Linked DNA regions of Lonchura striata. The protein of the gene in region 2 interacts with the protein of the main gene of each other region in a pairwise test. Links are inferred from orthologs where the notes say so. Each region holds a gene or a part of one and is shown on either strand. Other genes may lie near its edges.

Region 1 (7,163 bases), on a different chromosome or scaffold from region 2:
GACACCCCACGGGACTAAGTCTGACCACCCACCCCAGCCCTGGGTGATGCTGGGTGCCCACACACCCTGTCTAGGTGGGGAAGCAGCACCTGAACTCAGAGGTAGACTTGTACTGCTGTAACAGACACTACATTTCTTTTTAACTTCTGTTAATTAGAAGCCAGTATAATTTAAACCTTCAAAACCAGCACAAGCGTCGGTACAGATGCTGCAATTAAAGTTCTGCAAGTTCTCTGTGCAGAGGCTCTGCTCCCCCAGCCTGCGGAGCGGGGCCAAGGGCAGCTTCGCTCCCAGGCTCTGCCATCTGCGAGCGGCAGCGCGCCCGGCAAAAGCGCCGTCTGAAATCCCGGAGATCTGGAAGTGTGATAAAAAGCCAAATCCCATCAAGCGCTCCCACAGCAAACCACAGTCTTGAAGGGAAGCCGTCCTCCCGGGAACGGGCTGAGCTGCAGGAGCCGTGCAGCTGTACCGCAGCGCCTGCCCGGCCGCGAGGGCTGAGTAAGGGTTTCAGGTGGGGGAAAACAAAGGGGTGAGTTAATGGGATTAGGGCAGCGCCGAATGATACACTGAAATGCGGCACCAGGAGCAGCGGGGACATCCCCCACGGCCCCCGGCTGCAGCCCGGCCACGACTCACCCGCGCTGCCCCGGAGGCTCCAGGCACGGTGGCACAAACTACTCGCACACCCAGCCCCAGGAGACCCCTCCCAGCAGCCCAGCTCGTCCCCCCCACCCCCTCCCGGGGATGAACGCGCTTCCTGGAGCCGGCAAGGACACGGCACACCGCCCAGACAATAGGCTGTAACGCCATTGTCTGAGGGAGGGCCCCGCACGGCCGCCCCACCTTTCCCCAGCGCCCTGAGCCCCGGGGACCCACGTCTGTCCCTGCTCCCGCACAGCGGCCACAGTGCAAGGAGGGAGCACAATCCTCAGCCACCGCTGCCAGGAGCCCTGTGCGTCCCCGTCCTGATGGCCAACTTGTTTAAGCCAAATTAGCAGTAAAAAATGGGTTTTTCATGACACCTCATGGAAATCCTCCAAAACAATGAGCGATAACAGGCTTCAGATGTGCAAACGCAGTCCCAGTGGGTGCCCTGCACCCTTCCAGCCAGCTCCGACACCGACAAGGACACAGAAATGGACCCCTATAATTTTCTCATCCCTGTTTCCGGCTGGGCCGGACACTCCGGGAGCGGAGCCTGGAGCAGCCCCCGCGGACACTGCACCTGCCCTGGATGCGGCTGAGAGCCCGGAGCAAACGCCCCCGGCAGCGCTGCAGCCCCATCCCCGCGGCAGCTGGCAGGGACACGCTGCGCCCCCGGCTCCCCACCAGCGCATCCAGACGGACACCAGAGCCGCTCGGGGCTGGCACCAGCGCCAAAACCAGCACGACGTGGGCTGGAGCAGGAGGTGAAGCGACTGAGGGGCTGTGTCACAGGGTGTCCCCAGCCCCCACCACCCTTCTGGGATGGGGAAGTTGACAAGAGAACGTGAAACCAGACACAGGACTCACCCAGGCACCCCAACAGCGTTACAGGGAAGCTGGGGGTGCAGGAACTTCCAGCCTGGCTGGAGAGGGTGAAGGCTGATGCCCTCACACTCGGGCAGGCACAACAGTGGCACAGGTCACCCTGTCCCGTCTCCAGCAGCAGCCGTGCCCTCCTGAGCGTTCACGCTCCTCTCCCGGCATACATCGCCCCACGTTGCTCATATGGCAGCCCACGTTTGCCTTCTCCGGGCAACTCCCAGCAACATTTCAGCATTATCCTTTCATCTGTGCTATAAACCTGATTAATTAAGCTAATGCTAATCACTCAGCTAACGCAATTAGAGCGCTCTCTCCTCTCTAAACATCAGACAAACAGCCAAGTTTCACTCCCCCCGCCGTTTCGCGGTGCGGATGTCCCTGGCAGGAGCTCAGCTGGGACCCCCGTGAGCCCTGTGCCCAGCACCCCTCACCCGCGGGGGGCTGTCTTGGGTGATGTCAGGTCACCCTGACGCCCTGTGAGCCCTGTGCCCAGCACCCCTCACCCGCGGGGGGCTGTCTTGGGTGATGTCAGGTCACCCGCATCCCTCTCAGCCCCCAGACATCCCACGCCAGGTGGCGGGCGGAGGGCAGCCCCGGCCCCGCGGGTAGGGACGGCGATGTCGAAGCGATCCGAGGCGGCCTCGAGAGCAGCACGCGGTGTCCCCAGGTGTGACTCTGGGCACGGAGCAGTCCAGTTTGCGTAAGAGCCCCACAGCACCGGGCGAGCGCCGTGCCAGGGCCTCGCCCGCTCCGCGGCAGCTCCGGGCGGGGCCGGGGACAGAGTCACCGCCTCGCACAGGAGCGCGGATCCGCGACTCCCAAACTGGATCCCGCGGCACCGGGAAGGGGCCGGGACAGCCCAGCTGGGCATGGGGGAAGCCCCGGGGACCCGCCCTGCCGGTGCCGCGCAGGACCGGCCGAGCTCACGGGCAGCACACGGCCAGCTCTGCCCCAGACGACGGCAGCGGGGCCGAGCCGGGACGCCCGGTGCTGCCCGGCCCGGACCCAACTCCTCCCCGCCCCGAGAGCGGCCGCTCCCCAGCGCCGCACGGCGGAGTCCCCGCCGCTCCGGTGCAGCCCAGCCCGGAACGACGGACGGCGACGGACGGCCGCGGACCTGGCGCCGTCCCGGCCGCCCCAACTCTGCTCACCGGACCGCTCCCCGCCGCGACCTCCGCCAGCCCGGTCCTGCGGACCCGGAGTGACCTCTGCCCGGTTCAGCCGGCCTATTGCCGGTCACCGCCGCTCCCCCACGCCCGACGCGCCCTGACTCGGCTCCACTCACCGTCGCTCCCCATGCCCAGTGCCCCGCCCCGCTCACCGTCGCTCCCCGTGCCCGACGCGCCAGTCCCGCTCACCGCCGCTGCCCGTGCCCGGCGCCCCGGTCCCACTCACCGTCCTTCCGTGCGCGATGCCTCGGCCCCACTCACCGTCCCTCCCCGCCCGTGCCCGGTGCCCCGGCCCCGCTCACCGTCGCTCTCCGCCGCCCGCCCGCTCCTGCCCGAACAAAAGGCGAGCGGCGCCCCGCGCGCCGCCCCGCCCGCCGCAGGCCCCGCCCCCGCGCCGCCCCTCCGCCATTGGATGCTCCGCACGCCCATCAAGCACTGGGCCCGCCGGGCCCCGCCCCCGCCGGACGTGTTTATTCTTTCCCCATTGGCGGGGGCGCGGACGCCCCGCCCCCTGCCCGCAGCTGATTGGACAGCGGGGCGGGGTGGGCGGGGCGAGACCACGAGGGGACCACCTGGGTGACGTCAGTGGGCGCGGCCAGGTGGGGCCGGGACCCGCCCCTGAGGGCCGGGGGCGCGGGGACCCCCGGGCCGTGCTGGGATCCCCGGATCCTGCGGGGACCCCCGGCCCGTGCTGGGACCCCCGGGCCGTGCTGGGAACCCCCGAGCCGTGCGGGAACCCCCGAGCCGTGCGGAGACCCCCGAGCCGTGCGGGGACCCCCGGGCCGCGCGGCGACCCCCGGCCCATACTGGGACCCCCGGGCTGTGCGGGGACCCCCGAGGCGCGCGGGGAACCCCGGCCCATGCTGGGACCCCCGGGCTGTGCGGATACCCCGGGGCCGTGCGGGGACCCCTCGAGGCAGGAGCGCGGGGGCGACAGGAAGCGGCGTTCGGGAAGGGCTCGGGGCTGCTGGCGCCGCGTCAGCCCGGTCCCCGCCGGACCGGTCCAGCCGGGTGCTGCTGCCGCGTCCCGGGCTAAGCCGCCGTCACCCAGTGCCCGAGTCATCCATTGGACACGTCCCAGCCCAGCTCAGGACCCCCAGGTGTGGGGGAGCAGGAGGATTCTGCCCCGGTGAGGATGAGGAGGGAGCATCGTGCACCCCCGCTGCCTGCACGGTTCCCTGCTACGTCTGGCAGCGAGCGCTGCCAGGCGGGGATTCTCAGCTCCGGAGGAAGGTGAGAGACAGAGCTTCCACCGCCTCTGCAAGAAGAAGGGAATTCATGGCTGTGCGCTGAGCGGGAGATCCGGAGCGCAGCGAGAGAGCTCTCGGCACAGGGAAATGGGCACACGGCACGGCACGGCAGGGCACAGCGCAGGGGAGGCGGCAGCAGACATCTCATCCACGCTCCCCTCTTGGTCAAGGTCGAGGGGACCGCGATGATGCCTTCACCAAGTAACCAACCCATCGCTCCCTGCAGCCCTTCTCCTGCAGCCCAGGACTCCTCCGTGTCCCCCGTCAGTCACCCCGCATCCCATCTCTGCGCCCCTGGCACTGCCCGCAGCTCGGCAGGACAGGACGGTGGCCGTGCCCACGGTCACAGCCACGCCAGGTCACAGCGGCACTGCCAGAGATGCTGCTCCTGCCTGGCACTCCCGGGGTGATGGATGCAGCCATCCAGCACATCCTGCACATCCAGCGGCTCAGGTGGGAGCAGGGAAGGGACCCCGGGCACTCCAGCTCGCAGCTGCAAGGGGCTTTGCCCGGTGCCAGTAGATCAGTGGGAGCAGGGAGCTGTTTTCTCCTCGTGAGTGTGGGGCTGGGGAGGGTGCCCGGGTGTGTGTCAGAGCAGGGCGGAGGCCCCGTGGGCCCAGTGCCACCCTCGCCCAGCTGTTGGGAAGATCCGCAGCCTTTGTCCCCTAGGCTGCGGTGCCAGCCCTGGGCTGAGCGCTCTCCGCTCCTCCGTTCGCGAGTGCCGCTGGCCACACCCCACCCGGCTGGCACTCCCCTCCCGAGGTGGCTGTGCCCCATCGGTGACAAACCCAGCTCCTCCCAAGTGACAGCACAGCCCTGTGAGGTGCAGGGTGCAGTGGGTGCTCCCTCCCAGCACTGCCTCCCCGAGCCCTGAGCTTTGCTCACGGGTCTGGGGGCTCAGCCCCTGCCCCCCGCCCAGTGCCCTGCAGAGCTGGAAAAGCCTCGGTGAACAGGGGCTCCGGGCAGGGCAGGGTGGGGTGCTGGCAGCCTCTTGCCACTCTCTTCCTTCCATTCCCATCCCTTCCCTCCCCCGGGGCCAACGCTGTGATTCAGCCTCTCAGTTTCAGTCCTCGTAGCCAATTTCCACGCCGAGCAACCCGGCAGGGAGGAGTGAGCGGCCACACACTGCCCGATGCCTCGTGCCTAGGACTGGCACAGGTTTGTCAGCACCAACAGAGACCCCCAGTGTGCCCCCAAACACCCTGATGCAGGCAGGAGGAAGTCATCCCACCCTGCCATGCCCACCTTCATCGGGGGATCCAGGCTGCACCCTCTGATCCAGGAGCAGTGTCACAGTGTTGTACCCCAAAACAACCATCAGCTCATGGATATGACATCCCAAAGACCCATATGGGGTAGGACATGCTGCCCTCCAGCCCCCTGCAGCTCCCCCCCCACCTCACCTGACAGACTCAATGAGGGGGTCATGGATCCCATTTGGGGTCCCCCTCATGGGACCCAGAGCCTCACAGGAGCCTGGCTGCTGTCATGGCCTCCATGGGCCCCCAGCCCCACAAGTTCCCCCAGGTCATCTCTGGGGACATCCAGGCCTGAACCGATCTCTTCCTCTCTCACAGCAGAGCCTCTCCTACCCTGGTCTCCTGGATCCCATGGCAGCAGCATATGGAAAGTGGAGGCAGCCGTGAAAAGACCAGTCTGGATTTTATTAAAAGTTCAGCACCAGTAAATATATAAAAAGAGCAACGGTGCAGGAGGGAAAATCTTAAATTAATTGAGCTTAAGGCTAGAGAGGGCTGGTGTGGCAAAAATTCAAGGCACAGGCAGGGCATGGGCACCACAGCCTCACCAGGCTGCAGCCCCATGGTGACACGGGGACATGGCACACTGGGAGCCCCCTGTAGCACCAGGCCAGGGAGTCCAAGGGGACCTGGGCTATGGGAGCTGTCAGATTGCCTGGGAGGCTGGAGAACAGGAGCCTCAGGGAGCCTCAGGAAGGGGCAGGATCAGCTCCAGCAGCATTGTGCATTGCTCCCGAAGTAGGGGCAGCCCTTCAAGCCCCTCAAGAAAAGATAGGGATAAATTCTGGTGCATCATCCAGAGATTCTGGGGAGCAGCTGAGGGACACAGAAAACCCCAGTGCTGTGGGGCATCACTGCTGGTCAGGGCTCCTGCGGAATTGGGGGTGGGGGTAGCCCAGGCTCCTGGGCAGGCAGGGACATTCAGGGATGCTGGTGTTCCACTGATGGGAATTGGGCTGTGCCAGGACAGCAGACATCCAGGTGGCAAAAGCAGTCCTGCCGCAGGATGCAAGGCAGGATTGGCCCCTCCCCATGAGTTTGAGTTTCTACCGGTGGCTGGGAGGAGCTTGAAGCCCGATGTCCCCAAGATGGCATCACAGAGTCACCACCATCCAGCTCAGTTGGTGCTGCTGGCTCCCCCTTCACCTGGCTCATCATAGGATCTCTGCAAACAAGGAGAGTTTGGTGGCACCAGGGGTGTGGGCAGCAGACCCCCCGACCCTACAGCACAACTCCCAGCCTTTGTATCAGGAACCTTGGTCATCTTTGTCTCCTTTGGTCTTGGGTTCCTGCCACCACTCTGCGAAGAAGCCCTCCTCGTAGTCACCTTCGCCCTCGAATTCGCCATCGGAGGGCAGGTCCAGCACCTCTGGCCCCTCACCACCATCCACCTCCATCTGCAGCACAGGAGGGCAGGAGGAGGCAGAGGAGCTCGGCAGCCTCATCTGCAGTCTCTGCTCCAGGACTGCTTTGGGGGGGTCAGACCCCCCCCATCTGCGAAAGGTCCCTGCAGCACCCACACACACCACCCAGCCCCCCCAAAAGCACCATCTGCATCCCGTGTCAGGTACCTCATCGTCATCATCCTGCAGGTACTGCCGGGCGAATTCCAGCATCTCCTTCTGGGCGGCCGTCTGGCTGTGGTAGCGCACGGCTTCCTGGGCACAGGGGCAGAGGGGCTGGGTCAGCTCCTCTCTGGGCAGTGCAGGGCCACAGGACGGGGCTGGGGGGTCCTCACCGGCCGTGGCTCGAAGTCCTCCTCGCGCAGGCGCCAGCGCTCGCGGTGGAAGCGGTAGTAGACCAGGTTCTGCTGCATCACGGTGTCGCCAGGGTCGAAGAGCATGTAGCTGGAGACGCTGCGCACCGCGTCCTGCACGTCGTTCACTGCGGGGACAGCGCCAGCTGACACGGGGGTGACACCCCTCCCAGGGCCACAGCAACCCAGGGTGCCCCAGGGC
Region 2 (8,059 bases):
TTCACTGGGCCATGACTCAGGCCATTAGCCTGAAATGTGTGTGTGTGTCAACAAAGAATTATAACTGCTTTAGCTGGATTGCAACCGATTATTGTCCCAAAATAAAAGACACTTTAAATTTCACAGTACCTTACCTTCTTATAAAATACAGCTTGGCAAAGCCTTTTTAGCCAATAATGACTTCAAATACACAAATAACGGTTATCTGTCCTTTTTAAGCAAAACTCATTACAACCACTGCTGCTGTACAATGTAGTAATTCGGTACTGCAATTGTGCAGGCTGAAGAGATATAGTGTCACCTTCCAGTGAACCTGGCACTGATTTAATAAAACACAGTAGGTTTAGGGTTCCTATAGCAAGGGGTGTAGATATTAATCTGGAGGGTTATTCACATTTCACTTACAAGCAAAGATAATATGAGCAATAAAAGAATTAAGGTATAAAGCAATTTAGGGTTTTGCCATTCTTATTAAAGGTTACCCAAGCGCCAAGTTTATCTTTAACTACAAACTATACTAATGGCAGAGCTAAGTTCCAAAAAAATTCAGCTGCATCCAGCCAGGAGGTAGCATTTGGAAAGAACTGATTTTTCAGTTTTAATTCTGAGCCAAAAGACAAAGAAACCTGAGATCAGACCGACCAGAAAAAAACACTTTTCCTTCCACAGATATGAATGGAAAGAGAACTCTGGAAATGTCAAAGCAAATTATCTGCCCATATTTTACATATTTAACATTTAGATACTTTCAAGAAACACCAAGGAAACAAACTCTGAGACCCCTAAATCTTTCTGTCCGATACTAACAAGTAGCTTTGAACGCCACTAATGTCTGTCATCCCTGCACTTGCAGCGAGCTCCAGGTCCCCAGGGGAGGCCTCTGAACACACGGCACAGCAGCTCCTGAGCCCTTTCCTTGTGTTCACCCCTCCTTCAAAAAGCATTTAAATTCAACAAGATACTGTCCCCCAGTTTCACTGGGATTGCGTCAAACCGCATCATTACACACGCTGGAAAAGACAGATCCTTTTCTGCCACCTGTAATTCACTGGTTTTCTAAATCTCTGGCCAATATTTCAATGAATCTGCTTTTTATTCACACTAGGAAAAATAATAAATCTTTATGATGGTGCTGGGTACCAACCCTTATCTTTGATATTTTCACAAGTCTCCCAAACTATGGGCACTTCTTGAAATCCATCATAACAGTCGCAAACAGATGGTATTGACTGTGCTGTGCATTTTTTTCTGGTCAGACATACATCAGTTACAAGGGGACAGGTAAACGGGATGGGAACTGTACTTCATGCTCCTGCTGAGCCCTAAAGAAACCACGAGGTGAATCGGGTTGTTTTTCTGCAGATACACTTACGCTTTAAACCTTGATAAATTCCTTGATAAAGGGCCTCAGCACCTGCTTTACTCAAAATGGAGAAATTAAGCCTTTTTGCTGCTTGCTCTCCATTCTCACAGCACAATCTCCTCTGCTACATGCTATCTGCAATCATCAGATCTTTTTCTAAATTTTAGCAGATAAATATGTCGTTGTAATTAAATTAAAAGTAATAAATTCCTGTTACTATAGGACCACCGTGCTCCAGAATCCCACCACAGATTGGAGCACTCTCAAACTTGGAAAGTATTACAAATCCAACCCCATTTTTGCAGGTCAGAAAAAATGTGAATCCATGTGTCATGACTTTCCCTATTCTGGGTTGTTCTGTGGCTTTTGCTTGTTTGTTTGTTTCTTACCCTTAGCATACTGTCTAACATCAGCATTTTTATTCTTTGCTTGAGCCCTGAGTTCAAAAGCCAGTTAAGGCAATAATAGCTTTTAGCCTTGAGTCAGGCCATAACGAGTCATCAACTGAAAGTCAATTGCAAAAACTATTGTCTCTGAAAATTTCAATTATATTTTAAGCTATAAATAGCTCACTTAAGGGTTCACTTGCTGATTCCAGCAATATTTTTTAAGTAAAATTCTAATGCTTCCTGAAACCTCCTTTTGTTTCTAAAAAGATGGAAACAGTTTTGCAAGCCAATGCAGCAAAAACCACAAGATCTTAAATCATTTTGATAATCTGACTGCATATTTTTAGCTTACCAGGCTCTCTTTATTGTTATATACCATACTGGCTAAATCAATATTTAAATTGGACTCTTTAGTTATTTCTTTTTAATTAAGGCAAGGATAAGAGGCGATAGGAAGAAAATACAGTCAGTAAAGATCATCCTGGGATTTTCTCTGGCATTTCCACTTACTAACTGAACTTCTGTCCTTCCGCATCATATTCATTAAGATGACAAATCTGATGTTTGCCTCAGGAAAAATATTAAAATCAACATTCCACCTTCCTTTTTTTTTTTTTTAACTGTATTTGTCTACTCCAGTATAACATCCCCCTAACTACAGCAGGGGCCCTAACTGCGAGATGTTTTGGTAAAAGGCTGTATAACCTCACACTCAGTTAGATTAACCTTTACAGAAGGCAATCTCAGCCCTGTACACCAGCAGCTCTTACAACACTTAGGATGTTAAGCATGTGTTACAAGATATAGCTGTGTCCCAGAACAGCCAGAAAACCAACCATCTGCACACTCCTACCAAATGCTCCCCACCTCAAGATAATACAAAACTATTGAGTCTTTTGGTGTAATAAGAAAAAGACACTGGAAAACCAGCCGAAGCCTATATCCATCTGCAATGCAACGTGAACGTAGCACCTGCAGCTTTTTTTTTAGAATCTGTAAGTACACTGTATACAGACATTAACTAATAAGTGTCAGAAAGCAGAGCCAAAGACATTCTGCATAAATTAGAAAACCTTTACTTTAGAATCCATCTCCTGCCAGATTGTTAGAAAGCCAACAGCGTCACTCACCTATGCTAGAAAACATATGGTCCATATGCAGCACTAAAGCAAGTGCCTATGAAATTTCCTTGGGTTAGGAACTTCAGTGCAACTGCCCTGGCTCGCTATGGGGCTCCTGAGGCATCTGCAAGGGACAGCCTGACAAGCTCCCAGTGTATTTCAGGATGACTGACAGCACACAGCGGCGGCTGGAGGGCTGGCAGGGGGATGGGCATCCTTAAAGCTGTATTGGAGAGCATAAGCACGGCAAAAAAGTTTAGAGCTGAGAAGGTTTTGAACAATTAGAGGACACGAAGCATTAAATTACTTATACTTCCTGTGATAATTCTTGTAATTTCCAGCACAGCAACTGTTTTGCCATACATTCTGACTGTATGCCAACTTCAGTCTGGAGGCAGTGACTCACTCTCAGACTCCTGAGCTGGACAGCAAAGGGATTCATAAAGCTCTTGCACAGAACTTGGCACCAAAATTGTTTTCTCTGTTGTTTTTTTACTATTGTATGGTACCCTGCAATGACACACAATATATTATCCTAGCAGTTTCAGAAAATGCAAAGGCCTATTGCCTTCTAAAAAATGAAGAAATGTTTAAACAAAGTAGTCAGGATCTGTATTTTTTACCAAGATACATATGGACAGGGCACCTGAGGATTTCCAAGATACGAAACATTTCTGAGAATACATAACAGATTTTTTTTACTATTTGTTCTTAATTTCAGTATTTCCTCTACAGCTTCATTAATTGTTACCAACAGCACTCTGATAATATAACTTGTTAGCCTTTTTGCTACAGTCAGTACAGAGAGTGCAAATCAGACTTCATAAAGCCACAAAAAACAATTACCACATTTTGCTTTAATGCTAGCTGACACATGAAATAAGACATTCAGGATGCTAAAAGCTTGTAGTTCAGGCAAAGAAAAGTGCACACTGTTTTACTGCAGAGTACTTGTACTCTGTAGGCCAGACCATGCTCTGGAATGGAGCAGTATTCCAAAGGACCTGGCCCATTTAACACCAGGTAAAGTCTATAAAGCACCTGGTAAATTACTTAAATTTCCAAACAAAGCTGTCAGGCTGCTCTATAACCATCTCAGAATTCATCATTTCTTACCACTAGCAACAAGACACGTGTCTATTAATGCACAGACACCACAAGTAGAGCAGGAGACGGTGGCAAGATTCAGACCCATTAATAACATTAATTCACATAAAGCTACTTTATTTAAACAGGCTTTGCATTTAGGTGTAGGCTAGCAATGAAGTAACTGGAAGATTTTTTTTAATCGCAGCCCCAAAAATTAAAACCAAAAAAACATAGCACTTTTTTTTCGTATTTCCTTTCAATTCTGCCTGTGTTTACCATCTCCCAAGAGCACTTTTTCAATCCACATCTGATGAGCAGTTAAAATTCACAAGAATATAAGACTTCCACCAAGTTCTTCAACACAGTTCTCAACATAAATAATGTGATATATCATACCTTACAATCAATCTACCAAGAAAACAGTGTAAGCCTAGTTCTTTATGGGTGTTGGAGAATCCCCATGGCAAGCAATGGTTCATGACTGACCTAGTAGTGACATTAAAAGGTTTAATTAAGGTTTATGAAAAAAAAAACCAAAAACTTTTGAGGTGGGATAAAGCATTGCACCTCAACAAACTTGTCTCGTGAAAACTTTCTTATAGCTAGTGAGATAAAAATTTCAGATTTTTTCCCAGATTTATAACACTCAGAACGAGCTCTCTTTTCCTTGTTTAGTACTCATGTTTTCTTTTCCTACAGTGCTTTCTATTTCAAGCACTGTTTCAAGCAGAGGTTGTGTTCCAGTATCACAGAAGGAAACAGAATCACAGAGGAAAAATTATTTACTCAAGATGAGAGAGAATGCCAGTGGCAGAGTACTGGAATAAAACCATAACAACACTGAAGTACCTTACCCACACTTTCTTTAATCAAGGCCAAAAAGCAGGCTGAGGAGAGTAAAACACTTTCAGAAACAATTCACACCATAACTCTATAGAACATCATCTCTATTCTTACTCCTATGTTCAGGTTACCCTGATATTAGTATTGCTCATCCTAGTAAGGCCAGAAACCATCTGCCTTAAACATCCTATCAGAACCCCTCCACTGGTGAATGCACACACTTCAGCCAGCTGCAACACCAACTAATTCCAGGAGATGTTCCAGCAGAAGTGTGAATCCTACAGCCTGAGCAGTTCCACAGCCTTTGGCTTTGTACTGGCACTCAGGACTGCTTCTCAAACAACAGCTATCCAAAAAATGTGCTACTGCCTTAAACCTACAGCCACTGCAAGAAACATCTTCCCAGTGAAGTATAACATGGAAACTTGGGAACCTGACAGTATCTCACTACCAGAAAAATAAAATAATTTCACTCAACAGTGGAGTTCTACTGGATATGCACAACTGTGAGTGACAGCAGAATTAAAATAATACTGCTTAGGCTAGATATACTTTAATGTTTGTAACATTTCTTCCATGTACATTTTGGCAGGTACCGCAGTTTTTCATCTGAAAACTAGAGTTCTAATATTTAAGAAACTGAAAAAGCACTTACTTTAAAAAAAAAAAAAATAACACACAAAAAAGTGGTGTGACATCAGATGGCAGCATTTCATTTTTTAAAATAATCATTACTATTTTTTGGATCTATTTTAAATTCTTAAATGAAACCCCAAAATCCTTCCACATGAGTCTCAGTGCTATTTTCACTGCGTGCAGTTTGAGCCCAGAACAAGGACTGCTCTCCATTTAAGTGGCACACAGTTCTTACATGGATGGCTATCTGAGCCCCTAACGATAGGTTAAGGAGGTCTGGCTCCAAGCCTTCTCTTTTGTTATCACATTTAACGTGCTCCTATCTGTGTTCAGAACCAGAGACCCCGTTCAAATAAAGTTCAAGTTGACCTTCCACTAAAAATAGGATGTTGTTCAACTCATTAAAATAATAGACAATAATAGAAATTCCATGAGGTGCTACTAAAAGGTTTCAAATTTTATTTACTTTAAATACAGCTCCCCATTTCCCCTTATTGCTATTTGCTGACAGTTATCTATTACAGCATTACACTCTGCTGTTTCGTTTTAAATATGTGTCTCAACTCTCAACTGCAAAGAGGTAAAAAACCAGGGTTTCTTCTCTTTGTAGAGCTGCTTCTGATTTTGCCAACAGATTTGGCTGTTTCCTACCCATGGCCTACCCCAGGATGCTTCACCATCACATACCATTTCATTGAGGGTCTGCATTAATTGTTTTGTCCAGTGATCTAAATAGTGTTTTAGCATTCTAGAAGTTTTCTTCTTCCCCACTGCTTACAGACACGCTCAAAACAACCCCAAAATTAAGAGTAGCAATGGTGACGGTGACTGACACTTATATATATAAAACATATTGACTCTGAGATATGCATGAAAATAAGAGAGAAATGACTCTTAGAAAGTGCCTCACTTTGAATGCTGGCAAGCAGCTTCCTTAGCACATACAACAGCACAATCTAATGAAAAGGGACAGAAAATAGTACTTAAGTAAAGCCACAATCCCTCCACACCATGCCTGCAAACATGGACAGACCTCAATATGCAGATTTACTCTTCCAGTGGGGTTCCCATTGCTGCACAGCACCCTATTTCCTTTATCAATTCTTCCAACTGGTTTCAAATCACACCAGGGCTCAGCAGAAAACCCCTACAAAGCTGTTAAAGCACTTCTGGTGAAACAGCTTCAGAAATAAAGCCTAAGGACGTTCCAGCCCATTCTGACCTCTGCCCACAGTTCAACTCAAAACCATCTGGCTGAAGAGCAGCCATAAAGAGAAAAAAAAAAACCAAACTTTGTTCCAAGGTGAATTAATTTCCCAACACTGATCAAAGTAGGAGAAAACAGTAAGAATTCATTATGGTTTCCTCCTAAATGCCTGTCACATAGCCTAATTCTTTGTTGTTGGGTATCTCTGGGGCTTCACTAGGTCTGAACCTAACAGAAAGGTGCACACATAAGGGTCTTGAAATATGCACAATGTTACACTGAATGTAACAGCCCTCCTGTAGCCCTCTCTTATAATATTTTTTGTAATATTTTGGAATTTTTTTAAAATTACATTAAATTGTGCAGTAACTTATTATTTTCACACTGAGGTGCGATAAACATACATTTACACAAACCTTCCTTCAATTAAGTGCAACTTCCAGCAAAGTATCAGGAGGTAAACTAAATTTTTTAAACTAATAGCATCCATACAACATCTTATTCTTCCTTTTCCAATATTCCAAAGTGGCTTCTCATATCTGGAAAATATGCAAACACACTGCAGAACTTCAGCTACTAGCCTGAAGTGATAAGACCATGACAATTAAAATATTTAGAATATTCAGGATTTTTTTTAATATTCAGATTTTTTTAATCATGTTTAAAAGTTCTTTTTTTTTTTTTTTTTTTTTGGAAAGCTGGCTAAGAAAGCCAGCGTTTTAACTTTTTTAAACTTTTGGAGTGATTGTTTTATCAAGCAGCAACAGTTCCATTTATAGCTTCATGTACTTCCACCACTAAGAGGAAAATTGCCTACATTCTTCTCCAATCTTACCTTTTGAATCAAGACTCCAAGGAAAGGAGCTCCTAGGAATGGCTCTGTGAAGAACTCCACCTGAGGCAGCTGGACTCCAGGGGCAGCGAGGCTGCGAATGTGCCAGTCAGACCCAGCTGTAAGAAACAAAATGTGAGGGCAGCACTCCACTGGGACTCCTCCCAAAGCAGTAGCGCCGAGCTCAGTGGCAGCTTGCTACTGAAAATACCCCTTAGAGCCACCCAAGCTCATGCCTAGCCTTGCAAGCCAGGTTTGACACAGGAACCCAAATCGGACACCAGGGAAGGCAATGGCAAAGCCATTCAGGCTGAACACGAGAAGGGAAAGGGGAAGAAGGAAAGCAAAAGCCACTGCTGTAAATCCACACTCAAATATAGATGCAATGCACATCTCCCTCATTCACCTTCACAAAACATTCAAAACACACTTCCAGATTGATAATCCCTCATTTGTAAGATTTTCCACCAAAGCGGCCATTTAAAAAATGGATATGAGTTAAGTTTTGCTAATCTGCTAACACAGCAAATTAGAGTACCCTGGAGTGCATTTTACAATACACATAGAACAAGAAAACCC

Evidence for each region. The genes of interacting proteins can lie anywhere in the genome.
Region 1: the proteins of CTNNA3 (region 2) and JUP interact in binary tests that used the Homo sapiens proteins (3 or more experiments, as listed by UniProt). The link is inferred for Lonchura striata from reciprocal best matches to the Homo sapiens genes CTNNA3 and JUP.

The regions. Positions count from the first base shown.
Region 1 is NC_134627.1:6,608,799-6,615,961, reverse strand, and holds the start of JUP (junction plakoglobin), read right to left. Parts: upstream 3,066-7,163; 5' UTR 2,999-3,065; exon of another isoform or gene 2,923-2,998; intron 2,785-2,922; exon of another isoform or gene 2,679-2,784; intron 1-2,678. Other genes in the region: P3H4 (endoplasmic reticulum protein SC65), read right to left, coding at 6,360-6,370, 6,461-6,602, 6,777-6,863, 6,944-7,089. UniProt on the Homo sapiens protein: Common junctional plaque protein. The membrane-associated plaques are architectural elements in an important strategic position to influence the arrangement and function of both the cytoskeleton and the cells within the tissue.
Region 2 is NC_134609.1:35,368,538-35,376,596, reverse strand, and holds the start of CTNNA3 (catenin alpha-3), read right to left. Parts: upstream 3,021-8,059; 5' UTR 2,908-3,020; coding exon 2,883-2,907; intron 1-2,882. UniProt on the Homo sapiens protein: May be involved in formation of stretch-resistant cell-cell adhesion complexes.